Linked DNA regions of Oreochromis niloticus. The protein of the gene in region 1 binds, or shares a complex with, the protein of each later gene. Links are inferred from orthologs where the notes say so. Each region holds a gene or a part of one and is shown on either strand. Other genes may lie near its edges.

Region 1 (15,691 bases):
CGTTGATTTGTCTCTTCCCTCTCTGCAGGAAGGAAAGGTGCGCCGGGGGATAAAGGTGATGCAGGGTCCAATGTCCAGGGTCCCCCAGGGGTCAAGGGATTAGCAGGTACTTCTGCATAAGTAACATAATAAAAGTACACACACAGTCCAAGTTACCAATCTTGAAATGATGTTAACTTTATTGTCCCCAGTGGGAAATTGACTTGCAGTCTGTCCATACACAGAAAGACAAAAATAAACAAACACAACACACACACACAAAAATAAATAAATACATTTTTTTAAAAAGCCCAGAGAGAACAGCCCAAATTTTGTCGTCAACAAAGTGCAATGTGTAAAGGCAACAACCCTTATGTTTAGTGTTATTATCCATGATAATAGCAGCAGGTACAAAAGACACTCTGTCTCTTGGTCTTTACTGCAAGCACTTTATATTGCTGTATTAGAGAGTATGGTCTGAACACAAGATGACAGAGGTTGCCTTCCTCAGCACCTGCCTGTTATAAAAGTCCGCAAGCTGGACCTGAGGCCTCTCTGAAATCTGATCAGCCACTTTACCCAGATAGCTGGTCTTATTGTTCAAAGGCACATTACCATACCAAGCAATGATACAGAACATTAAAACAGATTCAATAAAACCTTTATAAAAAAAGGGTCATCATTTCAGATGAAACGTTAAAACCTCTCCTTAAAAAGTACAGTCGTTGTTGATCCTTTTTCACTACAGCAGCAAGATGTGACTCAAAGGACAGAGCCTTATAACGAACAACCCCCAAATACTTGTAACTGTCCACCAGTTCAATGGCTGCACCATTTACTACTGTCAGTGCAGAATGGGGAGAAGGATTCCTGAAGTCAGTTACCATGTCCTTAGTTTTCAAAGTGTTGATCTTTAAGAATGACTGATCACACCAAGAAGCAAACTCATCCACAACAGGCCAACGGGAATCCTCTTCACCACGAAGGAGGCTTACAATGACTGTGTCAACTGCATATTTAATGAAATGCCTGTTAACCTGTGTAGTGCAACAGTCGTTAGTGTACAGATATATAGTAAAGGGGAGAGACAACAACCCTGTGGCGAACCAGTAGAATAATTCAGCTGTTTGGAAAAGCAGCCGTTGCTATATGTGCTAATAATGAATAATGATAAACTCCTTGTTTTTGACTGTCCCGTATCTTGAGTGTTTTGATAAGCACCTAAAATAAAATGTGGTATTACTGTTTTAAAATGTGTGTCCACAGGACCTCCTGGTGAGTCTAAGCTGGGAATCCCAGGTCCCAAAGGGGAAAATGGTAAGCCGGGGCCATCTGGGATCTCCGGAACACCGGGTCAGCCGGGCGAGATTGGACCACCGGGTGTTTGTGACAACAGCGGAGGCTGCCGCATGATTCCCCAGCAAACAGGTTAGCAGCTAGAGAAAGGCGTACTAATCATGCAACCCTGGGAATATGAGTATGAGGATCCAGGCCTGATTTTTGTTTCGTTTTAACTAATGAAGTACATGTGTAAGTACATGCATGTATCTATGTTTGTCTGGTGTAAGGGGAGAGCTGCAGTAGGCAGGATTTCTATTCTCAAATTCTGGTGTGTGTTTTTTTATTGTTGTTGTTGTTGAGTGTTTCTTTTATGGTAATATGGCAATTTTGGCTGAGAGTGCTGAAGTCCCAATCTGCTGTCCACACCTTACGTTTATGAGGGGCAGCCAATCAGAAGATAGATGGTTTAAAGAATGGGTTGACTTAAAAGGAGATGAAGTAAACCAGCTTGTTTTAGTAGCTGCACGTTACTAAATCACTGTGGACTGTGTTCAACTGTGAGTCATGCAAAGCACTTCTCATTTGAAAGAATTGGGTAACTTAGACATAATTTTCACTTATTCAGCATCCTTTTCAAGTTTCTTTCTTCACACAGAAGACTCTTATGATGACTACCAGCCTTGAGTGGAGAAAACATGCAGGAGGCAGTGGTAAGGTGACTGACATCTGTAGGAAATGACGGGTTCATTTGGAAGTGAGCAAAAGACTGACATTGGCGGTTTGAAGAGGTTTGCTGCATTGAAAAGGAAAATAGTAAGGGAAGATTGTCTTTCTCTTCTCTTATTAAAATCTTCACTCATGTTTCAAATCAGCTAAGAAATTATTCACTTAAGAACAATTAGGAAGCTTTCTCATACAAAACCTACCAGTTGATGGATGGCTTCATAAGAGATCTTTTCCCAGTGGAATCTGTAAAGTGTTGCCTTAAACAATGTATTCGCACTGAAACCTTTGTTGCCGTGTTTCTGTATTCATGCACTGTATCAATGCCAAATAGTTTAGCTGCATATGTTATTTTCTGTGTATTTCATTTGCCATTCTAACCTTAACTGCCTCAAGAAGAATGAAATTGCATAATCCATGGTGGAAAAGCTTCTTTTTCTTCCATGGTATAAATGATGCTGTGAGAATGTTTCTTTCCACGTGTATGATAATTGTTGTATTGTTAATTGTATTAACTGTATCTGGATATCCATGTTTATTTTAAACTGTATGAATTCTAATTGCTTATTCGTGTTTACATTTAATGATTTCCAAAGCTTTGATGACAAGAATTTGTTTGTGTATAAAAGAAAGAGAAAAACAGTGTAGGATAATATTTCTTATGGTGTATGTTTTTGGATGGTTTTTCTATGTTTTTTTTAATCTTGTTAATAAAATGTATAAAAATGTGTGTAATTAATCACAATGTGTTAGTATGTAATCACCCTGAGACATGCATGCCTGTCTGCCAGCGTCAAATCTAAAGCCATTTCTGATTTGCAGATGTAGCCTGCAGATTATCCCAGCTCTCGTCACTAAATATCCAGTCTTCACTTATCAAATCTATGAAATTCAAGGCTGGTCCTTAAAAGCACCCAACAACGCAAACTGCATAGCCAATTTTGCATTGTGTCAGTGAAAATAAAGTCATAATGTAATGAAATGCTATTGATTAAAGACTGCTAGAAGGGTGAAAAAAATTACATGACAGTGTCATAGTTCTTCATTGGAACCATCTTGAGGAGATCAGTGGGGTCTATTTTGCAGAGCACAGCCAACCTGTATGTGACAAGCAAAATGTTGTTGTCAAATTGCCTGCTGTAGTAGTCTCGCTCCCTGGGGCTGCAGTAATCCTAGCGTATTTGCTAAAATAAAGGCAGGTCATTTGGACCGAAGTGGGGAAACTCTTGTTCCCTTCAAATACTTTGCACCACACTGCAGAAAATAAACTCTCTGTTACTGATCTTACTTTTAAGTAGTTAGTGAAAGTGCTGAAATATATTTAGAAATGCACTTACACTCTTAAAAGTGCCCCCCAAAAATGTCCCTTTTGACTTTGTCATGTTATTTGATCATTATTGCTATTGCATTCATGTACAAGCAGGATATTAAAGCTGTAGTTCGATTTTATTGTGGAATAGTCTGCTGAATATTTGTGAATTGATTAGCCTGTAAAAGACGCGTCATCACAGACACCCATTTATTATTATGAAAAAAATCCGTCCGATTGATGATTTAATTCATCATTTCTGTGATGAGGTCTGTTTACTACGGAAGAGGATTAGGGCCACTGGGGGGAAAAAAAGTGGGCACATGTTTTTTTTCTTCTTTTCCAGAATTCTGAGAAAAAAGTCTCAGTTGTATTTGTTTGTCTGATTGTTGAATTGTTTCTGTATTATTTTGTGTATTGTTCTGGCCAGGTTGCTTCCCAGAAGAAGATAGTCATAATAATACTTGTTTTTGTTGTGGTGTAAAACTGTATTGCCCGCTTACAGGGCCATCCTTTTTGTGAAGCAGACCGCTGATTCACATCAAGGTCCAGCGTGCTGTAACTTGTAATTTCAACTGCTACAGTGAATGAAATCTTTTAAAAGACAGTCGTTCTCCTGTGCTTCTTTTAAGAGAAGAAAATGAACACAGCAAGTACAAAAAGCTAAACTCACCACTAGGTAAAGATCACCCTGAGTGGCTTTAACTTCGATGCTGTCAATTTTGCTGGTCAATATTACTATATTGACCAAATAAATATTATGTTTTATTGCAGCTTGAAAAAGCAGTGCTGCTTTGTGCGAAGAAGAGCAAAAAAGGAGAAATCCGATGTGAAATATTAACCCCTGGCTGCAGACTAACAGCCTTTGTCAAGGAACCCTTTCAGAAGATGGGGTGATGTTATCAGTATTGTTGTGAAGGTAAGATTCAGATCCTGCATTTTTAAAGTTATGATTTATGTTTTTGGTGTAAAAAAAAATATTTTCTTATGTTTACCTGTTAGAAGACCATTTTACTGTAAAAACAGAAATTCAATCATCAACCCTTCTCCCATTTTCACATAAGCCATCTTTAATGTCCTCTTCTCTGCCACTGTCACCGGAGTATCTAGCTTTATGCCGACCACAGAGCCAGCCTTGCTGATTAGTTTTTCCTGGATGAGTCCTTCTTTGCTGTGCTGCTCCCCCAGCACACCACAGCATAGAATAGTACTTTGGCAACCACCAACTGGTAAAACAACCTCAGGAGCTTCGTGCAGATGTTGAAAGACCTCAGTATCCTGAGGAAGTACAGTCTGCTTTGGCCTTTTTTATGCAGGTGGTGCATGTTGCATGACCAGTCCAGTTTGTTGTCCACACACAGCCCCAGGTACTTGTACTTGTTGACCACCTCCATCTCCTCTCCCTCTATCTGAACTGGCAGTGGACCTGGTCTGGACCTCCCCAAGTCCACAACCAGTTGCCTTGGTCTTTGAGGTGTTGAGTTGCAGGTGGTTTGTGTGACTCCATGTAACAAAATTCCTCGCCAGCCTCCTGTACTCTTCCTGATCATCCCAAATACACCCCATGGTGGCTGTGTCGTCCGCAAACTTCTGAATATGGCAGGATTCAGAGGTGTACAGGGTGAAGAGAAGAGGGGACAGCACAGTTCCCTGTGGTGCTCCTCTGCTGTGATGTCCTTCAGCCTGACGTACTGTGGTCTGTTGGTGAGGTAGTTGGCAATCCAAGCAACCAGGCAGGTGTCTACCTGTATCCTGTTCAGTTTTTCCTGGAGCAGACAGGGCCTGATTGTGTTAAAGGCACTCAAAGTCAAGAAACAGGATCCTGGCCGTGCCTTTTCCCTTGTCCAGGTGTGAGTGGGCTCTGTGTAGGAGGTACAGAATAGCATCTTCCACTCCAACATCCGCCTTGTAGCCGAACTGTAGTGGGTCCTGGGCATGTTGTACCTGTGGTCGGAGGAGGTTGAGAAAGAGCCGCTTGAGTTTGTTTGCCTTCTCCACAGTCCCCCCCACTGTGTTGTTCTTGGTGTTGTGGCCTGTGATGATTTTTACACCATCCCAGACTTCCCTCATATTGTTCCTCTCCATCTTCTGCTCCACCTTCCTCCTATAGGAGTCTTTTGCTTCCCTCAGGCAGTGTTTCACCTCCTACTGTGCTTCATCTCCTCTTTCACTTTGCTCCTGAAGGCCTTCTTCTTCATGTTGAGGACAGCTTTGACTTCCTGTGTTACCCACTGTTTGTTATTAGGATAACACCGTACCACCTTAGCAGGGGCGACCGCATCCACACAAAAATTGAGATAATTTGTATGACAGTGCGAATTTTGGCATCAATTCTTCAAAATAATCTCGGATATATTGAATATAAAATTGACTCCGACTCCACATATCGCTATATTTGGCAAACCACCAAATAACCTTCAAACTACAGCTATTCAGAATAACCTTATTGCCTTTGCTTCTCTCATTGCTAGAAAAAGAATTTTGTTGTTGTGGAAATCATCTCAGCCACCATTAATTAAAGTCTGGCTACAGGATATCTTAGGACTCTTAAAATTGAAGAAGATAAAATTCTCCATCAGAGGCTCATCGGATAGATTTTTTACTTACTGGAAACCATTACTTAAATACTTAGAAAAGGTACCAGCACGAGAAATCTCTCTGTAATCCACCATATGATGATGTACAAATTTTTCTGCTATTCCTGGCAGTGGCTGATCTACCTTATAAAAATACTCTATTTAAAGATATTCCAGCATTATTAATTGGTTTCGACGAGGAGCAAGTAACCATTAACACAAATATTGTTACTATTGTTGGATAAGATTTATATCAATATTGATTAATGTTAAGACCTTATTTTAGGAGGCTACCAGATGTTAATGTTAATATTAAACTATAAGGAAATGCATTAATATTTTATTGTTGATTTTTTTTAATTATTATTATTATTTATTTATTTATTTATTTATTTATTTATTGATGGGTCAACTCATTTTCTCTGCAAAATATTTATTTTTTCATTATTGGGAGGGAGTGGGGGGTATTCATGTATTTAGGTATTCATCTCATTTATGTTTTGTGTATGCTATAAAAAAGAAATAGGAAAAGATTATTATTTCTATATGTACTTATATGTTTTATGACAGTTCGGTATTGAAAATAAAATATATACCTATGTATGACAGTGTGTCGCCTCCTCTATGTCCTCATCATGTGGGATCAGAAGCACATCCCAGTCTGTGGTGTCATAGCAGTCTCTCAGAGCATCCTCCTTTTCTGGGGTCCATCTCCTAATGGAGCATGTTGTGACAGGCTGCCTTTGCATGAGGGGTCCAAAGGCAATCTATCTATTGTGCTTTGTATCTTTGGCTCAACATTTCTGTGCATATTTCCAGCCATCACGTCATAGGATCGGAATAATCTCGATACAATTTAAACCCTTTACTGTCCAAATTTCCCAAGCCATATGTGTCTGCTAAATATATTTTGCTCCTTTTCCATAAAATGGGATAGATGTTTTTTCACAGAGTGCTCCTACCACACCTCACTAGAGACTTTCCCAATCAGGAGTGCAAAAGAAGAAAGAGTGAGAAAATACATAGAATGCACAGAAAACTGCCAACAAGCTTCCTTTTGTCTTGTCTGTTTGTCAGCGACATAATTTGTATCAGTTATGCATTTTAGAATAAAACATCAGGCAGTTTCTACAGAAAAATATGCTAAAACAATGACAACTTTAAACCAATGCCCATGGGATATGTATGGGAAGATATAGATGTAATACCCATATGCATATTAGAGTACAGATCAAATGTAATCACATTTATTCTATACACTTTGGGCATTTTCTCTACCTCACATCCATTTTCCAAGCAAGCAAGCAGGCATGTGCTTTGACTGTGGGAAAAATTAAAAGACATGTTTTGTTATGTTCTGTCTTTGAGGGGAACTTCATTTTTCCCCATTCTGTTTTCAGTGGTGAAGAGTTTCCTGGGAGACAAAGGACTCGCTCCGGATCAATCAATAAATATGGAAAGTATAAAGTGAGGTTTTTTGTTTGTTTGTTTGTTTCCCAGCGTTTTCTTATGTTAAGCTTTTCAACTTCAGTTCCATGTCCATTACAACAGCACACAGCTTTGTTCCCTGTTTGACATATAAATGTTTTGTATTTCAATTTTGTTATCTTTCATAATAAAAAAATTGCCAAATATTATCATTTTTGTTGTTATTCGTACCTACAATGTCATTAAAACACAATTTCGATAGCTACATGGTTAAGATACAGCTCATAAAAGAAACACATAGAATATTGATATACTGTGTGAAATTTGTGATAATCTGCATTGAATTAAGATAGCCTGTTGATTTCAGGTAAGAGAAAAGTTTAATAAATGACGTTTTTAAAGAGCCTTATAAATGTGATGTCTAAAGTTAACGCCAATGAAAAGCCACCATTTTAATATAGAACCTTGGTTATGGCGCTTGAAGATGTAAGCATCAGAGAACAAAGGACCCACTGACTGGAAGCTGTCAATTAACAAGTTACGGGAGCACAGAACACAGCGTTGCCCATAATCCTTGGCTACTTATAGTCACTAGTATCCATAGCCATATGCTCTTCAGAATGAAAGCTATATAACGATAACTTTCCTATTTTTATTATTGTCTAGCTACACAATGAAGCTAATTAGAGTGGTATGAGGCCGTCCTACAGCTGACAACCCAAGGCAGGAATTGAATCCGATTCCTGAATCACAAACCTCGAAGAACTACAACTATGCCCGTTGATTGGCACAGTTTATATACAAGTCTTTGTCACTTGTGTCGCTGAAATTATATTTTTGATGTAATTAGGTCTATTTTCCAGATAACGCTTCAGGTTACCGAGACATTTTGGACCAGTCTGCTTAAAACATTGTGAGAACAGTTCTGGGAGGGTCTTTTTCTCTTCCAACATGACTGTGGCCTAATGTACAAACATGGTCCATAAAGACATGATTGAATGTGTTTGCCATAGAAGCAGAGTGGCTTGCTTTGAGCCCTGATCTTAACTCCATCAAGCACCATTGTGATGAACCAGAATGGAGATTGCAAACGTCCAACATTGGTGTCTTACATATCAAATGCTCTTCTGGATGAATGGGTAAAAAAAAAAAGAAAAAAAAAATCCAAAGACATGTTAAAAAAATCTTGTAGAAAACCTTGGCTGACAAATGTAAACACTTAAAGCTGCAAATGCGGTTCCGATCCACACTCCAGTCCAGATGGTGGCAGTAAAGCACCTGAAGTTGTTTGCCATCTGCCATAAATAGATAGAAGAAGACGAAGCAGGATGTCGCGTGCTGCTTTTTAAGCAGTGTACCTGCAGAAATGTACTGACCCTGTTCACTAAAGCTATAAAAAAAAACTATGGTTGTATGTGAAAAAAATGAAGATCCTTCAATCACTTTATTCTCTGGCTTAATTAGATAAACTTCTCCCCCTGGCGTATGTGTATTGTATGTTCTGGCTAATGCTTGTTTGTTTGTTTGTTTCTGGTACACAATTTCTGGACGTACAAAACCTTTAATGTAATACTGTTTAATTTTACTTTGTATTGTACTAATCTTTAAATAAAGATCTTAAAAAAAACCTGCAGTAGATTAACGTCGCGTTTTTTGACATTTAGGTCCACACTCCACACCAGTTGGTGGCGGTAATGCACCTGAAGTTGTTTGCCATCTGCCATAAATAGATAGAAGAAGACGAAGCAGGATGTCGCGTGCTGCTTTTTAAGCAGTGTACCTGCAGAAATGTACTGACCCTGTTCACTAAAGCTATAAAAAAAAACTATGGTTGTATGTGAAAAAAATGAAGATCCTTCAATCACTTTATTCTCTGGCTTAATTAGATAAACTTCTCCCCCTGGCGTATGTGTATTGTATGTTCTGGCTAATGCTTGTTTGTTTGTTTGTTTCTGGTACACAATTTCTGGACGTACAAAACCTTTAATGTAATACTGTTTAATTTTACTTTGTATTGTACTAATCTTTAAATAAAGATCTTAAAAAAAACCTGCAGTAGATTAACGTCGCGTTTTTTGACATTTAGGTCCACACTCCACACCAGTTGGTGGCGGTAATGCACCATTTTGCTGTTTGCTAACCACCTATAAATAATATAAGGAAGAAGGAGCAGAAGCTCAACGTCGCCATGGCAAGCAGGAAAACGTCGCGGCCAAACCGAGACAGCGGGGACAAATACTCAGTACTATTACCCACCTACAACGAAAGAGAAAATCTGCCTTTAATAGTGTGGCTGCTTGTCAAGTATTTCGGGGAAAGGTGAGTTACTGGGAGTTAGCAAAGGCTCTCCGCTCGTGCTAGCTAACGGTGGAAGTCAATGATGAGCTGTCACTAAACAAGTGTCAGTAGCTCGACTTCAAGGGGTCAGTGTAGGATTTCAAGAATATAAGAGCTGTAAGGGTAATATTAAGCTTACTTATTGCTGCCGTATTCTTATATTTCATTTGCCTTATTTACAGTGGTTTTAACTACGAGATAATTGTTATTGATGACGGAAGCCCAGATGGAACACTGGAGGTGGCAGAGCAGCTTCAGAAAGTCTATGGGGAGGACAAGATCGTAAGTTTTAAAGCAGTAAAGATAGATATGTTACTTTAAGAAGTACCAACAGTACATCACGAAAGTATTTATGAAATAAGAGCGCATTTAATGTGTCATAACGTTGTTTTGCTTGGGAAGTATTTGCCATAGTATTTACTGTCCATGCCAAAGGATTTACTTAAACTATTTTGTGTGTGTTTCAGCTGCTACGACCAAGAGCGAAAAAATTAGGCTTAGGTAAGTATTAAACTGTGCCAGAATGAGTGTGTAAGCTCTAGTAAATTTTGTCATCTGCTCATCAGAGTGTTTGTCCTGCTGTTTTCTTTCAAAGGCACTGCCTATATCCACGGCATGAAGCATGCTTCTGGGAACTTCATCATCATAATGGATGCAGATCTTTCCCATCATGTGAGTGGAGCATGTTTCAGTCATTCTGTCTGTGTTCGTCTTTTAATGGCTTGACAACAGTAAGTGGTAAAATTTTACATGTGTAACTTACAGTCTCAGTATCCACTCTTCAGGTTATCTTTCTGATTAAGTGGTTAATCATATATCAACAGTTCCTTCTTTTAGATCAGCTGACAATTCGTTAATATTCCCTAAAGCAGGGGTCTCAAACTCGCGGCCCGGGAGCCACTTGCGGCCCACATCACCCCTACTTTGTTTGTTTGTTTGTTATTATACTACTTGAACACTAAAGTGGCCCTCCAATGAGATGACAGTACCAGCAGTGGCCCACAGCTCATTTAAGTTAGAGACCGCTGCCCTAAAGCCTAAATCGTCAATTGTTCTTAGCTACAACCAGGTTACTGGTATACATTCTGCCATTTCTAATGTGCCTAAAATGTTAAGTATAACAGATTCTCTGTCTGTTATTTCTTGTCAGCAATAATCTTAATGTTTTTCTTTTCCATTTCAGCCCAAGTTTATCCCAGAATTTATTCAGTAAGTGTCTCTGAATTCACATTTCCTATATTTTTATTTCTGTAAAGCCAGACTTACTTGGCTGGATTTTAGGGACCAATGCCAGTGGTGATTTATAGGGAGTAAAGAAAGAATCTGCAATTGGCAAAGAGGGGAAAAAAGGCTGAGGTATGGTGGACTGAAAATCTGTGGCAACAGAACTGACAACACTGTGATGAAATTTGAGGAAACATGGATTTTTTTTTTTATTGTGCATGCACAACTTCAATAGGCACCAATAAGCATGATGGAGAGGTTCAGCTGAATAACTGACATCCATGTAGGTGTGACGTAGTAGTGAGCTGTGTGCTGCAGCATTTTGAATTTCATCACAAAGCTGAAGTAACATGGGAGTCTGTGGTAACTGTAGACATAAATTGAGTAAATACAAAAATGTGTTTGATGACCTGATGCATGTAGAGAAAAAAAATACCCTGCACAGCACTGTTTGTCTGTCATAGCTCAGTATCAGCCAAAAATTTCAGCTAACAAATACTAAATCAGCTCCAGGAGATTAATATTTATTCAGCATCTCTGCCTTGGATGACAGTTGTGTCTTTCCTTTTATTTCAAATACCTTTTGTTTTTTGTTATGTCAGGAAGCAGAAGGAAGGCGATTACGACTTGGTTTCTGGTACTCGATACCGAGGGAACGGAGGGGTTTACGGCTGGGACCTTCGCAGGAAACTCATCAGGTCACTACTGGTTAACACTTCTTTGTAATCAGTTTCCACTCACCTAATAGGCAAGAGGCTGAAGTTTTATATTTCTTCATTTTTTTTCTTCTTTTTTTTTTCTCTCCTCCCCTTCCTCCTCTTGTTCACAGTCGGGGGGCCAACTTTTTGGCTCAGGTGTTGTTGAGACCTGGTGCTTCAGATCTCACAGGCAGCTTCAGGTAAATGGTGTTACTGTTGTGATGTTGTGAATTAAGTGCTACTGACTGTTACAATTAGAGCTGTATTTTCTTTCACTACTGCTGTGTTTATTTTATTTTTTTTCCTCCACTGACTGACTTCAGACTATACAAGAAAAAGGTGCTGGAGAGTCTTGTTGAGCAGTGTGTGTCCAAAGGCTACGTCTTTCAGATGGAAATGATCGTCCGAGCCAGACAACTCAACTACACAATCGGAGAGGTGAGGTTCTCTCTCTCTCGCTTTAATAATTTTTTTTTTTTTTAAATGTGTTTAATTTTCAGGTAGTTCAGTGTGAGAAAAATCATTCGTGTGTCATTCGTTCTCTTCATTTTTTTAGTTGAGGATTAAAATCGAGGAAAAAAGAAAATGTGTTATTTTTGTCATTCATCTCTTTTGAGTGCTTTTTTTCCTCTTGATTTTATGCTAATTGAAAAATGAAAAAGCAGGCCAAGAAAACCATTTGATTCTCATATTTAATCAGTCTGATTTGTGTGAGCAGGAAGCTGCTGACTTGTTTTTAAAAAAGGGGTAATAAGTATCTAATTTTTTTTTAATGCTTTACAGTTTTTGGCTTGCTATTAGGAGCTTTCAAACTGCATTCTGCTTCATTACAGCACTTTTAGGAGTGAAGAACTCCCAGAAAAAGCTTTAACACATTTAAAACCAGTTTTTAGAGCAATTTCACAGCTTTGTTTGTGTCCAGACCACATAGCTTCAAAACCAATATGCGTATATGGGTCATATACACACAGAAATAGATTTCATAGAATGTTTGCGACTTTAATATAGGATAAAGGAGCAATTTCCCCCCCAAAAAATCTGCATTAAATATCCTATTAGAGCAGGTGTAGCTTAAAAGCCAAACACTTGCTAGAAGGTATACAGCGACATTTGCGGGTTAGCCAGATGACAGTCTCTCTTTTTCTCTGGCTAGATGACTGTGGTACTCCTGCTGAACATGCTGGAAGCACCGTGTTCTCACTTATTTGTGTTACTTGTATGCTTTAAGTGTGATAGAAAGCCTCTTTATTTATTTTATTTTATTTTATATGTGCTTTTGTTGTTAATTACTTTTGGCTATTTATTATTTCCCAAGGGATTTCCACAGTGGATAGAAGTGCATGCACAGAGTTCTACAGCAGAGGGGCGTACTATGAAACAAGTTCAACACAGCCAGTTTTCATTGTGTTAACTAGTGTGGGGAAAAAAAAATCTAAAACTGCTTTCAGCACGCTCACATAAAACGAGGTGTTTGACACATCATGTGACTCTTCTGCTTACAAAGATCCCTTTGAATAACATCTACTCCAGTGAGAGACATTATTAGACGATGATGATAAATTGGTAATTTAAAATCTATAAAGAACATAAAACAGTGAACTGCAGCACTGTTGCAGATAATTAATGCTGTAGAAGTCATTAATCTTGGGATTTAGTGCACAGAGCAGTAAAATAAACATTTTAATTTAAGGGAATTATTTTAATGATGAGTGAGCCTTCGGTGCTGCTGTTTACTTCTGTTTTCTTGTAGCTGCAATTCTAGTGTAAAATAGTTAGCAGTAGATCAGAATCAAATATAAAAACATTTAACTCCAGATTAATACATGCATTAATTCATTCCCATGACATGCACACATGAAATGTGTTCTATATCCATAATAACTACCTCCATTGTCACAAAGAGCCACTGCAGCTTGTAGCGCCGCACGTTGTGATTCGGCAGTTTTATTTCCTAACACAACGAGAGAGGGATTTGAGTCTTTTGTTCAACCTTTCACCTGTTGAACAAATGTGTTAACCGCTACACTGTGAAGCCACCCAAGCACAGGATCTATATTGCACTTAAAACATGCCGTAAATAATAGAATCTGTGAAAACTTCCGGCAGTTTTAAACCGAAACCCTGAACGCAACCCGCTCCCAAGCAGGTTGTGTGTTTAGCATAAGTTACCATGGTGATTTAGCCAGGTAAAAAGAGATCCACTTCCGCCACACAGAAACCTCAGGCTTTAAGCTCCAGATAGCTCGCTAAGCACTTGATTTATGCCTCGTATTACACCCCTCAGGAGTGCAGTAACTTGTACACTCCTTGAGGTTGACTTTGTGCCTCCTTCTGGTATCAAACCCATGATGTCTACACCATGGAGCCACTTCCTGTAGTTTAGGTTAAGTTAAATATTATCTCAGTGTTCATGTAATTTCTTTTCTGAAAGCTTCATTGTTATTTCAGTTAAGATCTTTTTTTTTTTTTAAATACTTTTAGTTCAGTTTCAGCCATCCATATTTACCAATTTGACACAGTTTCACATTTGTGAAGTTATTATTTTGTTATATTAAACATGTAAAACGGGTCTGGTCAAACCCACCTACAGACAGTTTTCTAGATATGAATAAAGTCTACTTTTAAACTAAAGGAAGTATTCAGTGTATACTTAAATCTGAAGTGCCACATTTAAAAAGTAGACTGCTAATTGGTGTATTTGAGGCTGTCTGAGCTCTTTCCATGGACTTTAGGCTACTAGATCCTTAATTGTAAATGGCAAACAAAAGAGAAGAGTCTTCTTCAGACATGTTCACACTACTGCAAATACTCTGATTCAGCTGCCTGGATAGACCTGGCAGGAAATGGCGCACAGGAGGGTCATTTTCTTGTGGTGTTTGAACAGAACCTGCAGCATAATGTTTTCTGGTTTTATTTTTAAAAAAATCCAGTAAATGACCCTTTTACTGTTACCTTTGATTTTTATTTATGACATTAAAATCATGTTAACTCTTCTCATAACTAGTAAATCATGGATTTCTGCATGTAAAACAAATCTGTGGTTCTTCCAACAGGTACCCATTTCCTTTGTGGACCGGGTTTATGGAGAGTCCAAACTGGGAGGGAATGAGATTGTATCGTACGCCAAGGGACTGCTCATGCTTTTTGCCACAACATGATCAGTGATTTACTCAGTTTGTAAAACCCACAGGCCTATAGTCTTCCTCTTACTGTGTTTAATACGGTTCTATCAGAATTGTAATGAGGAGGGGAAAAAAACTCCACTTGCCTGTGGTCAGACAGCAGCACGACAGCAAATACCAAGGGAGACATCTCTCCCTGTTAGGTGTAAATATAAAAGAAGTCCCTGTCAGTAGACCTTCAAGAATACAAAAGAAACATAGTGCTTTACATTCCCATCATCCTCTTTAATCAGTTTCTGGCAAAGCGTCTCGTCATTCCCGGCCCAGACAGCTGACTGAACTCTGCATTAACAAGCTGTCACATGACTTAAAGTGCACACTGAAGTGCTCCACCTATGATTGATTGTATAGGATTAAACTGTTTTTTATCACTGGCCTTGAGATTTTTTTTCCCTTGGGGATGCAGGCAGCTTCTCTTACTGATTTTCTTTAAGGAGTTTAAAGCCTGAATTAAACATGATTAGTTATTGATATTTTGGACTCAGAACGTTGACCTCCAAGGTCTTTCAGTAAATTGGCTTTTTCCTGATGATTGTTGTAGTAGTGACTCCATACAGCCCTTATGGAAGTTTAACTCTGTCATTCTCAACAAATAAATATTTTTCTTCCCGTTTCTTCATTGCATATTTGAAAGAAAAAAAAAAAAAGTCAATAGATAAAGTTCCATTTATAGATTCTTTACTGGTTTTCAGATTCCTGTAAAATGCATTTGATCACAACACCATTAACCTTTTGGAATCCACTGTTATCACGGGAGTCTGCTGACAAGTCTGCGTGTATTAGCAGAATGCTACCATAAGGACAAAATCAGCTTCAGTGTAAGAAAAAGTCAAGGACATAAGTGTTGTTTCATTATGGAGTATGTCGCCAGTGCCCTCTGCAGGGCCCCCGCTGAATTGCGACCAATTCCTGAACAACGGAGTTAACGGGAGGTGGAGTAATTGCATCCAAACT
Region 2 (14,981 bases), on another chromosome or scaffold:
ATAAGTTGTGACGACACCTATCAGTTTACAGAAAAAGAAAAGAAAACTAACTAAATTCAGTCAAATGCGTCAATACAACAGACATTTAGAGGCTTTATTCCATATTTTTACTAACACTAGGCTGTCTACATTAGGGAAAATGAATTGCCTTCACTAAATGCTGTCTTCTTACCCAGACTGCACTTCTTAAATTTTCCCCTTACATTTATTCCATGCAGGATTGGCACCATATATGCATAGTGCATTGACAGAAAGATGTAGTTGCAGTTATGAAAGTGCAAAATCATCCTAGATTTTCGAGTCAAAGCAGGAGACACACGGAGGAAATGGAGAGACATCATCTGTAGGTGCAGAAGTAGATCAATGAACTCATCTCACACACTGGGGCAGCTGACTGTGAGTGCACGATATCCTCAACACATCTTCATTTGTTTTGCGATTTTCGAGTATAGGGTCACGCTTTAAAACCAGCTGCACAAACTGATGAATGACCTCCCTTAGGTTTCAAAGAGATGTGAGGGGCACTTCCTAAAATCTGACCTGCATGGACTCATCCGCTCAGTGTCCACTTCAGTCATGCTGGTTACCACGTTTTCTGCAGAAGAGCTAAACTACTGTGAACTGAATACTTAGATTGAGTTCACATTGCAGTATCTTATCAGCGATATGAGTGTTTAAGTTTTCCATTACCAAATCGTATGAAAACCTCAATAGGATATACAACAGCCCCATTTTGGGACCTTCCTCATTAAATTCGAGTTACAGAGCCAGTCATCATTTAATCAATAGATTAACAGTAACACAAAACAATGTTTTTGGTGTATTTCTAATATCCTCAAAGACTTTTCTAACCACCTGCATTTAAAAAAAAACTGTCTCCAATAAATTCCATTTCCCAAACTGCAATGATACTTTATACAAGCTGTCTTTGAAGCAGAGCAGTGGTAGGTGTAATTAAACAATCCAGTATTTTTGGTGAAACCAGCAGCAGGATGCTAATGCTCTGAATAAGGATGTAACAGCTCACATCTAAATGAATTCTCACCCACAGGATGAATCATAATGACTGAACTCATAACTTTTCCTCTAGTATCAGAAATAGGTCACAATTTTAATTTGTTGTACTTTTAATTTAGGGGGAAAAATACCGGCAAAACAAATGACTTTAATATATTTTGTGTTTAACGTTAATTACCAAATATTAGCATGACACACAGTAATCTTATATGAGTTTCTATTTAATTCAAAGCCTCGCTTTGAGCGAGCATAGCCTCACAGCGCATCTACAGACTGTTAGTTTTAAATTAAAAGAAATCACAGACAAATAATAATAGTTCTGAAAGATAAACGCTTGGCAATGCAACTCAAATAGCAAAAGTTGCCAATAAAATGGCAATACACAAGAGCTGCAATCGGGTGCAACTGAATGAAATATTTCTTTTCGAGCAGAAAAATGGACTGGATTTATCAATTTATCTTCGACAGAGTCAGGACTTGCCAGCAGTGTGCAACCCTAAAACCTGGGTGGAGGCTGTAGAGGACACAATTCAGAGCAGGCTTGGCATGGCCAGCTGGTCTGTCTCTGCATATCTGGGCTGAGTCGAGCCTCCTATCAGCAGGACACACGATGATCCGTCCCTGTCTGCCTGCTAGCGTATGTTACTTCTAACAAGAGCCAGGAGTATCTAGCTTACAGGACCTCTGGGAGGTTACCTAATGTTATTGTAGCTATTTGCAGCATTTATAGGCATTCACACTGCCCTAGATTGGCAACCCAGTGTCCTGTAAGTATCAAAGCAGCAGTGAAAGAACAGTAAGCTGACCCATGAGTGACTTTTTAAGCAGTGTTCACCTCCTTTTATGCAGTAATGATGCACTTTATATTAGGATTAAATGTATTTTTAATGCAGCAGCACTGTTTAAAGTGCCCTTTATGCTCTTTTCTGCTTTAGTGCCTGCAAAAGCATTAGCAGGGTGAGACTGATAGGGCCGATAAGGAGAAAACACCTTGGTTACACAGAACAAGATGGCGTCTCAGGACCAGTTGAGACACGTTTTGGTCCCCTGCCATCAGCAGCGGTTGGGGTGTGGTCTTCTCTTCCCGAAAAACCCTGTCATACACTCTCTGTCACCACTGCCAGGGTCATCTGTTTTGTTCCAGCTCATGCTTTGGTTTCCTGTCGGTGTCACTTAGTCATTTTCACCCATTTTTATTCATTCGTACTTTCACACATCTTTTGTTCTGCGCTTTTAATTCACTCGCGCTCTCTGTATCTATCTCCTGTTTCAATTTGTCCCCAAGTGACTCTCGTCCCATTATTACCGCTCCTCACAGTTTCTGTATCTGTATCAAATGTATCAAATCTCCATCTTTTTCAGCTCTGAGCCCTCAATAACTCCATTTCCATCTCTCTTTCTGTCCGTCTCTAGATGGGTTTGAGGTTTTGCTGTGAAATGTGTGGGTGGGGAAAAAAAAGAAGTCTTTTCTGTGCAGAAAAATGATAACCTATCATTTTTCAGTCTTGGTTCTCAGCCTGTCGAAATGGATTTGCTCCCAGCAGTGTCACAGAGTGTCTCTAGAAATGTTTTTTATAGTGTCTCAAGGTCTCAGTGGGGCCATGCTGTGGGCACAACCCCGTGGCCTGGCCCCCTCTCACCGTCTGCCTCAGTCCCCATTAGGTTTCCTCCAATTTTTTTGGCTCCTCACACAATTTGGTCGATGCTTTTCACCTTGCTGCTTTGGAGCAGAAGGTGAAGAACAGTCTGTGCACTTTTGTCATCTTTCCCAGCCTCTCTTACTGTCAGACATACCAATTATGAAAAGCTGGAAAGCGGCTCTCTTACCCCAAAGATCACCTGCACAAAAACCGCAACAAAAGGATTTGAAGTTTTCCACTTATTCACTTTACAACACAGAGAGATTTTAGTTGACTTTGACACATGAACAAGTCTACGGAATGATCCACTTTGTATTACGAGACTGAATAGCTACTTTAAATATTGCATGGCAAACCGGCTTCGTATCTTCAATGTGAAAGAGAACAGAATCTCGAATCTGAATTTCTAATACTGCAGATCAAATTGAGGTCTTAAAGAGATCTGCTAATGTAGGTGATACAATGATCATAGGGCTGTGCAAAGCTTTGATTTCCTTAACAATAAAGGTAAAATATGTAAGCAGTCCGGTTACGCCTACATTTTTATTTACCATAGCCATGTTTATATTGCTAGTAGCCCTGCATGGAAAAGGCATGTGGTGATGAGACAAAGCTGTATATTATTAAGAAACATATCATGACTATCTACATGTAAAAGAATGGAGATGCTGTCTGTTTGCTGTTTGCCTTGTAAAATGCAATCTTAGAGTCCTACTGCCAACCGCACAGTGCTGAGAAGTTTTCCAGTGAAGTAAAATTCTTTGTACATTTTATATTTGTATCACTGATACCTAAGGTAGTACATCCCCACCACAGCAGTTTGCCCTACTGTTGTCTCCCTGCTAATTCAAAATTTTGGCAGATCTTGAGCGTTGTTATTTTCATGACACATTAATTGTCACCCGTGTTTGTTTCCCCTGGTGCACATACAGTATACCTGCACAGCAAGCCAGGAAATTGAGCAAAGAATAAAATGAAATGTAGTTCTACAGAAAAAAGAACCTGCCTTTCCTATTTTTTAAATCGTTCTTCGAGAAAAGCTAACGGTGGAGGAACAATAATGGAACTCGAGTCACAACTTCAGACTAGCGACAGAGGATAATCAGCTCTCGATTTCATTTTTTCCCCCTCCAGTCATCTGGCAGCTGCAGAGCCCAGGTAACAATTTAAGGCCTGTTACTGCTGCTCCTCTAAAATGCACTGCCTAATAACAGCTCTCAAAGTTGACAAAGCTGAATCTTTAAGAAGTCAATTGAAATGCAAAGGAAGCTCTCCACATATTTCTCACGAGAGGAGCGAAGCTCTCACCTCTAAGCCAAAAAGAGTATGCAGACAGACAAAATGAATTACTGTGCAATCATTATTATAGATTTTGCACAGTGTGTCATGTTACTTTACTCTATCAGGTGCATCCTCTCCTGTGAATACTGCCACTTAAGCACCAAACAGCAGCGGTTTTGATGGCAATCACTTCACATTTAGGACAAATGAATTGCACAGAGATGTTTTAAAAGAGCATTAAAGTATTTTATGTCATTCGGGGTGGCTTTCATAAACATCTCTATCTCTGAATCAGATTACACCTACATAGATTTGCTGTTACGTAAACGCAAAAGTCAGGAATGGAGCTTATCTTCTGCATGTTTTAAAGAAGGGATAAAACGGCACAAAACACTCTGCGCTGTTCACCTATCTAACATCTCTGGCCTATTCCGAGGTATACTTTCATCCCAACAACCCACGTCTTCAAAGTTGGATTTGGGGAGAGTGAAAACAAAGGAAAGTGATCAACTACTGTACATGTGGCTACGAGTAAGAACATAACGGCATACAGAGGGAAGCCTTTGGTGTATTTGCCAAAGTAGAAGATTTTCTGGTAAATGAGAGGTTTGTCTTTCATCCAGTCTGCTCCAGCAACAGCTTGCAGACATTCATGGGGGGTGACGTTGCAAGGCATGATGGGGCTGCAGCCAAACAGCACAACGGGCAGAGCCTGCACAGAGAGAACTGCCAACTCTTTTGCATTTGTTCAGAAGTTATGGGAGCTTTTGAAGCACTATAATGATGCCTTTGGCCAGGCTACGCTTTGTTTATGCGCAGCAGGCACTCACTGGAAATGAGCAGAGGCAGCCTTTTTAAAGCTTTCACAAAAGAACTGCAACTGCCAAAATCACATTTACTTCAGAACTACAGACTTAGCTTACTTTTTTTTTTTTTCTCTCCAATTTATGAACCAAACTTCTGTGTGGGAAGACGTGGAACTGCTGTGTAGCGTATAGTTCGTCATTAACAACGACAGACAGATACAGATCAGCCTTTCACACAGAGGGAGGCATTGAACAGTTGATATAAGCCCCCAGGCAGGAATTCATCATACACAAAAGCACTCATGCATATACTCATTCAAACCAACAAAGACACATTTCTATACTAAAAAAAAAAAAAAATGAGGAAAATAGATTTAATGAATTCTCAGCGTTACCTTCAGGGTACAACTCTCAAACTGGACAATGGAATGTACATTCCTTTACAGATAAAATCTAATCCACCTACAGCGACAAGCAACAATCTCCAGACGAACACAACAAGGTCCAGCATGTGCTGCGCTACTCTGGAGCCGAGGCTGATTGAAAGCATCTGAGATTTCCCAGTGGAAGCGGTCTTTAATCAGATTGGTGCAATGCGAGCGTTTGTTGGCATTACAGTGAACAGCAACTGTGTACAGATGATAATTTAGCATAAAGAGTAACATGAAAGCAACTGTATGGAGTTAACAGCCAAAGACACCACCATGTGTGTTCACTGGACTTTCTTTCTGGTGTAAGATGTGCTAATCAGTCAAACCACATTACACAAACAGATTAGAGCAAAAATGATGCTGGATATAAACTCTGCTACAAAACCCTTTCCCCCTCCGTTCTTGACATTTATGAGTTAACCAGAAAAACATTCATTAAACCATTCATTTCTCGGGCTTCAGCCACAGTAATGCATTTTAATTTAAAGAGCTTTGACTTTGACTGAATAAGCAGTTTTAGAGATGATCTACGTCTACATTAAGTGCCAATTACACACGCTGGGCAAGGGTACCAATCAGAAGGGTGAAATTACTACAGAGGAATAACAGCAATGACATAAAGAAAGCCCAAAGATTGCTTTAGTTGGACCTACAATCAGGTGTAAGTGTGACTGAATATAATGCAAAAGCATAAGAAAGCCAGGTATTATCCATCAAAGGCAGAAGCCGTGGCTTTGGAGAACAGAGTCAAGCTTTGACATGTTTTGGCTTAACTTTTGTGGCCCAATCAGAAAGCAACTGCTGGCTTTTGCGTCATCACTTCCAAAATGTTTCTGCATGTCCTGCAGTTTTTAACTAAGAGTCCTGCGATGCTGAGGTAATGTGGATTGGCTTAGTAAAAGTTATACATTTCGAAATTTAAAAAACAAAAAATGTATCAGTGTGGCTCTTTCCTCATTTTCTGAAACATACTGGATAAACAGCCAATTGATAAAACACAGTCGTGAATGAGACTCCTGATGTTCAGGAAGATGTCTCCAAAACAAGACCCTTTTTTTCAGGAATACACACTATGTGCATAAGACAATAGTCCGTGCTTTTCTCCTCTCAGTCCCAGAAGTTTACACATAGTGCCCTTTTAATCTCTACATTTTTAAACCTTTTCTCCTTAAGTCCTCTTTGGCTTCTTTTATTTGCTCCTGTAGCTCTTTCGCCGCCTCCTCACAGTCATTGAAGGTGGCCACCCTGTATCCCACAGTGGCCAGAGAGTAGCAGCCAAATGAAATCAGCAGGTAGAAAGGCATCGGCCAGGCGACCTCTCTGTAAGTCTGCGGGAGGCTCAGGTCCAACAGGTCAAAAGTGACCAAAGCCCAGAGTGCGCCCAGCAGCGACACACCGAACAGCCACTGCAGAAGTTTGGTCATGATGAAAGCTGCCGACGGGATTTCAGGGGAGCAGCCACAGAACAACCTGACAGGGAAAGCACTGGATTAGCTTAGCTTTAGCACACTGTAAATGCAACATGTTAGCCGTTTTGGCTACAACGCGCGCGAGAGACAAACAGCAGTTGGATAATTAGAATAGAAACAGCCATAAAAACGCAACAGACTTAATAACAATTCATCATTCATTTCGACCTTTAAAGCATTAAATCTTTTCAAAAATATTCCGATTTGTTTACCTCTTCTCAAACGCCACCTCAGCTATGCGCACATTAATGACGTTAAAAGGCCGCGGTGCCTTATGGGAAATGGAGTTAATGACGGAAATGGCTCTGGGTTTCTAACAGAGGGTGAGTTTTTATCTGGACTTTTTTAAAATAAATATAACATTTTTGTAACATTTTGATTAAACTTTTCTTAATTTATATTTATACGTTTTATTATGCACAGCACTGTGCATAATAAACCCCTCATTCACCCCTCATTTCTTTAGATTTTCTTTCCAAGGAGCCAGACATCCCTATAATTATTTTTAAAGTGGTCTTAAGTAATACTTCTTAACGCTTTCTGAAAGTCTTTCAGACTTTTCCCAATCATTCTACCTAACCAGGATTTTTTTTCAGCTCTGAGCCCGAATGACCTAACAAAGACTTGGCACCTAACTCAAGGAATGAGACACGGGTGTGTCTACACAGACAACATAGTAACAAGTTGGGTTTTTTTTTTTTTTTTACTTTTTATTAGCAGCCTATCACAAAAACACATTTGTGTCCATTTCTTTATTTCAGTCTATGAAAAAAATTCTTGAAGAAGGGAAACAAGGAGAAAAGACTGAGGTGTAACAAATTACTCAATAACTGGGCTGAAAATCAGTGGCAACAGGTCTGACTGAGTGATGAATCCAGATTTGACATTTATGGTTTAAATCACCATCAGTATGTAATGACGAGGTTGGGGGATAGGTACAATAGTGAGTGTCTACAGCCATCTGTAAAACACAGTGGAGGCTCTGTCATGGTTTGGGGCTCCATTTCAGCCAGTGGGGTTGGAGATCTTCTCAAAATTGATGAAATTATGAATGCAGAAATGTACCAGATTTTGGTACTCCATTTTTGAGCATGGGAATGATCCCAAACACGTTGCCAATGCAGTAAAAGCATACCTGGAGAGAAAACACACACAATGGAACAATATGAGTCATGGATTGGCCTCCCCAGAGTCGGGACCTCAATATTATTAAAGCAGTGTGGGATCATCTTGACAAAAAACAGAAGAAAAGGCAGCCAACATCCAAAGAAAAGTATTGGATGTCCTTCAGGAAGCCTGGAGAACACTTCCTGAAGACTACAAGAAAGTTTGCCGAAGAGAGATCAGGCTGTGACAAAGAATAAAGGTGGTCATATATTGACGTTTAAGCCCATGTTTTTGCTATATAAACTGCATATTTATTTGAATGTTTTAATAAATTGCTGCACTTATTTCCCATTTTCCTAGCAAAATATAAAGACACGAGGAGCAGCTGAAGACTTTTGAGCAGTACTATATATTTTTATTAAATCTCATATCAAACTAATACCAAAAGACAATTTAAGTTTTAAATAATATTTTTATACAAACATTGCTCCTTTTTGTTGTATCTGTATGCATTCCACCATCTAACAATCAATACACTGTCATTTTAATGATTTATAAAATCCTTATTATATTCTATAATTGCTTTCTTGTTGTAGTTATCGAACGGTACAGAAGAAGTAAGAAGACAGTGTTTGGGAAGATTAAATAGAACAGCTCCCCGTGTTTTTTGCACGTCTCAATAAATCTTAATGTTGTCGCTGTCTTTTCGCTTTTCATTAAAACACTTCACTAAACTGCTGTCTGATTTATTAACAACACCAGTACCCTGTCAGCTGAGAGAAAGCAAACACTTTGTCAAGCGAGTCTTTAATGAGGCCCCCAGTCAGGCTTTTAACACACATTAGACCTCTAACTTACATTAGACCTCTAACTCTGCCTCTGTGTCATCCTCTTAATTTAGAAAAGCCATTTTGAAAATTAGATTACCATTAGCACCACCTAAAAGCTATCCATAAATACTAATGCTTTTTTTTTTTTTCCAAAGCGAGGAATCCAACAACAATTTAATTAGGGGCCACCGGGAACTCACAGTCATTTGATCTCAGTTTCTCCTCGGGTGCTCTGGGGCATATCTGTTCAGCTGGGGTGATGAACTGTCCAGGTGCATGGGACAACAGATCTCTCCAGGGTAAAGTCACCGGTGGGAGATGTAAACATTATTCACGCAGCTGTAAAAAAGGGAACACACCGAAGAGCAGCTGAGAAATAAACATCATTCTTTGGGGAAAAATGGAAGTTATTCTTAGGATGGTGGTGTTTATGTTTATCCGCATTAGTGTTAATAGTGTGAGTGACAATCTGTGCATGTGCCAGAGGGCTAGATCCTGTTTCTTCTGCTAATGGAGACTGCAATATGGAAGACTTGAGGCTAGTCGGGTTTTATGTCTGCGTGTTGCAAAACATTTGAAATGTAACAAGTTTGTATTTTCAAGGATACTTTATCTTGAGAATGACTCGGTGACTTTGTAAAACCACCCTCGCTTCTGTTATTACATGGCCTACATGTTTATTGCTTGTGACTGTCATAAAAAGGAGCTGCAGCACAAGTAGGGGTGAATGATGCAACTCCATTATGTTTTATTAGCTTTTTAATGGTTCAATAATCAGGATCATGAGCCCACAAAGAAAGCTTCACAAAAGTCTCAGAGTTACTGATTCTGAACAATTCAGTGACATATGGGAAAAGCCACATCTGGAAGATTTAAAATATATCTTTAGTAATTAGCTGATTATAAAACTTAACACATGACTTCCTGTGCCCACTAAGTGCCACTGGAGAACACCCAGTAATCATAAGTCATGTTGCTGTAGAGCTTAAAGTGAAAATATTGCTAATATCTAACAATGTTTATGATGGTAATGCTACTTTCCTGTCACCGCTAGGTGGTGCTATGTCTGTAAGTCAGTGTCAATGACTAAATAAAAGAATCGACCAATGATTATGACAATGAGTGTTTTCTGCAGTCACTGGTCAATACTGACATGTAGATGTTTCCAGACCTGGACTCTGTCAAACTTGTGAAGCTTGGGACAGATGAGTTAGAAGAACAGATGAGTGAGGAAACATCAAAATTCCTCATGTCACCCTTTAACAAGAACTCAAAAGCATTACAACTTAGCATCACCAAAGTCTGATGACTAAACTGATCAAATATCATATCAATCTTAATAAATCTGTTGGAGGAGTCAGTATCCATGACTGAGAAGTGTGAAAGCAAAGTCAGGACTCTTATCAAACATGCAAAGTTTAGATTTATCTTGAAGGTCTTTTAAATGAAGTCATTGCAAAATTGCCTTAAAACTGCATTCTATCTTGAGTCCAGCAGATGGTGAAAGCTGTGGTTGCAAAGACTTCCCATCCTGCTTCATAAAAAACAGCCTTCTGACTTCACATGTGTAAACAGTTTCCTGCTGTGCTCAGTCAATCGTTTTGGGCCATACTGGATAAAGTCTAAGTAAATCTAACTTGTAAATCTTAGTCACACTACCTGCCAACATGGAGAAACTGCACATTCATTGGATACAAGTTGTTAATCGCAAGTCATTAGCCAATAGGCAATGTTGTGGTAGCTATATGTCCATCTTTATTGCTGTCTATGGGTCAGACTTGTATATTTGGGTTATTGACATATCAAAACTGGCCATGTCACTAGGGTACCGCCGTTTGATGAAAACTGACAGTTTTCACAATAAAGCAACATCAGCTCCTCAATAGTTTTCAAATTTCATGTGGTTCTGGTCAACCAACTTGGAGAAGCACATCAACATATAAAACAGATCATTTTCTGTTGTCACTATGTGACACTATAACCATCATTAAAACAAAAATGTAGAGGTCCTTAGGGCTGGTTTTCCTGTTGAACACGAGACGTTTGGGCCACTCTGGATAATGTATGTGTTATTTACAACAACTTAAAGTTTCATGGCAACTGATCGAAATTCACCATCACACCACGGGCACGGCCTTCAATGAAAACTCAAAAGCTTCGCATCTTATCATGGGCAAGTTCAGACTTAAGAATTATGGAGGCAACCTGATATGGAGATGATCTGGAAAACTCATGTTTCGGTTCTCAAAAATGAGATCTATTTGGGTAAATAATAAAAAAGAAGCAGACAGGGTCTGCGCACCGTCAGTCTTTGGAGTTTAATCCTGTTTTTGCATTTGGCCCTGCACTTGTTACTGTTAAGCAGACATGACATGATACACACCAGACTACCAAGGTCAAGTTTCTCCATCGCCATGATAAAGTGAATCCTGGTGGAATTACCCATGACATGCCACATCATTACATACATCATAGCGTGTGCCGTGTCCTGCCTGGAATACAGTGGTATGGGCAGCGCTGTGAGCGCGTGTGACTCTCAGTGGGAACGGTCGAGCTGGCTTTTCTCAGTGTATCTCCCTGCCAGCTCCTGTTCCGTTCCAGTACTCAGGAAACCTGTCCTCCAATCGAGCAGGCCTGGCAGACACAACACAACAGCCTGCGAGAAGGAGGGGCATGAAAACTGAGAGAATGAGAGGGAGATACTGAAACTGGAAAAAAAGAAACAGAGTGGGATATGCAGAATAAAGCAAAAAATAAAAATATAGGAAGACAGGGGGTGTGTAGTGAAAGAGTTATTTTTGTAAAAGAACCAGAAAGAAGGGGTGGGTGGGGGCTTTCGAAGCTGATAGGACAGGAGAGGACCAGACACAGAAAGCTGAGAGGACCACAAATAAAAAAGAAAGGGCTGACAAAGTATGTGAAAGAAAGAGGAGAGGGCAACAGAAAAAATAAGGGGAGGGAGGGAGCAGACAAGGGGAAAAGCTTTAGACAGGGGGGGTGAAATCAGGAGATTTGCAGGTGCAGCTTGAACAACCAATGACCTTAATGGTGCATTAAATCCAGCTGTTGCTTATCCAGACTTTCCTCAATCCCTCTAACACCTTCAGCGGCACAAAAACCTGCATGAGGCATCTCAGTTCCCACAATGGGGAGTGAATATATATATATAGCAGTGCAAGTAAAAGGAATGAGAAACAAAAGCATAAAGATGGTGTGTGACAGGGATTGGTAGAGATGGTGATTGTTGAGGAGATACTTGATCTTTAAGAGCAGAAACTGCAGTGATTGTGTGACTCCAGCCAGAAAGCAAGGATAAGGCCCATAGATAAAACAGGAACAGTGGTAATGGAGCGTTGTGTTGACTCTATCTCCTTGACTTTGTCAATATTAGCCGAGTGAAAGGTCCAGATAAGAATGTGTGCTACTACAAAGCTATATAAGGATCTAGATTGGCTAGATAGTAATTGTGTAATATCTCAAGTGTGTGAAGCAAGCTGGGTAGATTAAAAAAAAAAAAAACGCAAAAAAAAAAGGCAGAAGGAGAGAGGAGGGGGTGAGTGTGTGTGGACTGTCAAAATGCTGTTTAAGATAACAATAGAGCCTGGATTCAAAAACAGGAAGCCTCTGTTTCCTGAGCTGGAGACTGTAGCTGTGTGTAATGTTGTCATTAGATGTGAGTGTTGATGTGCTTGAGAAAAAGCAAAGAGTGACCTACAGTCCAGTCCAGGTTCCATGCAGAGATTTTTTTTTTTGGGTTGGTGTAAGAACAAGAAGAAGTGATACGTGTCTGGGAATCCAAACAAGGGGTAAAACAAGATGAAATCTCTCCAGCTCAGGATTTTTTCCATGAAAACGTGGGTTGGAAAACATCAACTTAAAAATCAGTACAGCCTGGCTGGAAAATGCTAAACCAATTAGCAAAGGCTTAGAGCTCATCAACCTCAGATTTACTGATGAAAGATGAAGAATCATCGGAAAAAGCATGGCCCATTTCTCTTTAAACCTATTCAGGAACTAATTTAATTGCAATATTCATTAAAAACTTTTACAGTGCATTCACTAGAAATGGAAAATTGTGAAGTGTATTTACGTTTTTAGTAATAAAACTGAATTGCCTTTTTTTAATCTACTCTTTTACTTAAGTGTTTAAATGTAATTTATGTCAGTGCCACAGCCTTGATGTGATGTCTAGGGGAACACTGGGAGTTACTGGAAATATGGGACCAAGCGCAACAAGGGGAAAAAACAGCGGAAACACTCTTAAGTGTATTAAAGTATGTCATTTATTTACAGTGAGATAATTAACAAAGACAAACCAAGTGCGAAAAACAAAAGGAAGCAGATAAGTTTCAGAGTCTTCCAAGGCCAAAGAAATAAAAGGAAAAGAAAACCCACAACGCCTAGGGAAACAAAACTCAGTTGGTCTATGGAATCAAATTGTTTCCGATGTTACCACAAAAACATGAGAAGAGGAAAGCAAGAAACAGATTGCCACCCATGAGTTATCAAGTATTCCGGGGTCATAACAGGATACTTATCAACAAGCTCAACAATAGATGACACTCTGAGGATGAGTGGGACATGATGTCCAGCCCCAATGATGGTCTGATGACCTTTAGGCGTGGCTGACAACCCCGAAACACAATGAGAGCAACATCGCTCGTCCAAAGAGAGGTCAGAAAAAGTGTTGTCCTTGAGGGTAACACTTTGAGTATTAAACTTTAGATGTCAGAAGTCTCATGAACAAAAAAGTAACAAAATTAAATGCTAAATGGCTAAATGCTAAAATGCTTACAGCGGAACCTCCAACTCCATATTCGATGTTCAGTGAGGAGCACCGCCATAATCCTCTCTTTTGAAAGATTTTGAGAGGCACGGAGAGATAGAATAGACTTGTTATATTTTAAACTGACAATAAATGAACTGAAATGACCTGAAAGAAGAATCAGATGAAGAACAATTTTTTAGCTAGGTCTTCCTGCCACTAACTGTCACTGTTACCTGTCACCACAACCTGAAGCTTTAATGTCTTTGTTTTCAGTCACATTTTTAGGCAGATATGTGTTAGATCAAGTTTCAAGTGTTAATTTTTTACATCATGAATAATGGTTTCAAGTCTCAGTGCAACAAGGTGTGTGTTATCCCAATAACACCATTAGGTCAGGCCTGTGTTGATGTGTCCTTAAACAAAGCTACTTCTCAGTTGTCTCCTTTGTTTTCGGCTTCAAATGGCACCTTTGTGCCCAGATGGATCATAACGAGTGAAGCTGAGTTTGTCTGCTAACTTTAAAGTTTAAGAAGAGGCTCTTCAGACAGTTGAGGTGGCCATGAATCAAAGTAGGGGCATCAGGGTGGAGGACCCGGCTACTCTTCTCATCGGGGGTCCTGGACTTAAAGTGGGACTCCTGAAGGTTTTGACATTGATAAGCACACAGCTCATAAATACCCTTGAGCCGCGATCATTTACGGACAGCCAGCGCCTGTATTAAATTGCAGACATAATAGTTGTGAGATCCCTACGCTACTTAGGGCCCGCTTAATGAAGTCTCGGGCTACTCCGTTGGGTGTAAGGTCAGAGTGTGGTCAAGTGTGACCATCCTTAACCATGTGAGACCAGCACTTGCCCTCGGTGGCCCGAGTAAAGAGACACACCTGTTTCAGCTGCTGCTGTGATGGCAGCAGTGAAACAGTGGAGGAATGTGGCCCCCACCCTTCACCCTTCACCCTCCACCTCCCACGCCCCCCATTCCCTCTTCTCCTCTCTCTCCACGCTATCAATGCTGTCCTAATGAATCTCATCACACAGCCTGCGTTTGTCCCACTAGTGCTTTGTTTGTTGACCTTTATAAGACGTCATTACTTGTTATCTTCACGTGTAATTCTGCCCCATAACACAACCCCTTCAGCCACATTCATAGGCCACAATATGTGTGTGTGTGTGTGTGTGTCAATGTGTGTGTGTGTGTGTGTGTGAGTGTCTGATCAAATGCTTCTTGTCAGTGTAACAGCCATTAACAATGAACAACGGGCATAAGCTTGATGATGTCTCCCTCCTCCCTCCATCCATTCTCTCCTCTCACCCTGAAACACAATGTCCTTTAGGATTACCGTTATTGACAGTGGAACTAATTGGCACATGGCTATGAAAGTTCCCCCACCCACCCCCCGGCCATTTTAAATTGGACTGCACAATTTCCTTCAACATCTGATAGGCAAGTATGCCCACAGGACCCGAGGAGGTATTGATTATAAATGTATTAATGTGGGTCAGTGCTGTGCACACAGCAAGGGGCGGATGATGGAGAGCTGCATGTCTAGACTGGAATAAACTGACCTCGTCTTGTGTTTACATAATTGATGGTAATGGCAGGAAGGGGGAATTCTGTCTAGTAGTCCGATC

What was found.
Region 2: dpm1 (region 1) and dpm3 share a complex: the UniProt entries of both Homo sapiens proteins name them as parts of the dolichol-phosphate mannose (DPM) synthase complex. The link is inferred for Oreochromis niloticus from reciprocal best matches to the Homo sapiens genes DPM1 and DPM3.

Annotation. Positions count from the first base shown.
Region 1 is NC_031984.2:31,713,101-31,728,791, forward strand, and holds dpm1 (dolichol-phosphate mannosyltransferase subunit 1), read left to right. Parts: upstream 1-9,429; 5' UTR 9,430-9,484; coding exon 9,485-9,615; intron 9,616-9,815; coding exon 9,816-9,915; intron 9,916-10,100; coding exon 10,101-10,134; intron 10,135-10,228; coding exon 10,229-10,305; intron 10,306-10,816; coding exon 10,817-10,842; intron 10,843-11,459; coding exon 11,460-11,555; intron 11,556-11,686; coding exon 11,687-11,755; intron 11,756-11,878; coding exon 11,879-11,993; intron 11,994-14,608; coding exon 14,609-14,713; 3' UTR 14,714-15,351; downstream 15,352-15,691. Other genes in the region: slc35h1 (solute carrier family 35 member C2), read left to right, coding at 29-106, 1,246-1,407, 1,916-1,944. UniProt on the Homo sapiens protein: Transfers mannose from GDP-mannose to dolichol monophosphate to form dolichol phosphate mannose (Dol-P-Man) which is the mannosyl donor in pathways leading to N-glycosylation, glycosyl phosphatidylinositol membrane anchoring, and O-mannosylation of proteins; catalytic subunit of the dolichol-phosphate mannose (DPM) synthase complex.
Region 2 is NC_031985.2:17,175,292-17,190,272, reverse strand, and holds dpm3 (dolichol-phosphate mannosyltransferase subunit 3), read right to left. Parts: upstream 6,943-14,981; 5' UTR 6,857-6,942; intron 6,646-6,856; 5' UTR 6,600-6,645; coding exon 6,321-6,599; 3' UTR 5,105-6,320; downstream 1-5,104. UniProt on the Homo sapiens protein: Stabilizer subunit of the dolichol-phosphate mannose (DPM) synthase complex; tethers catalytic subunit DPM1 to the endoplasmic reticulum.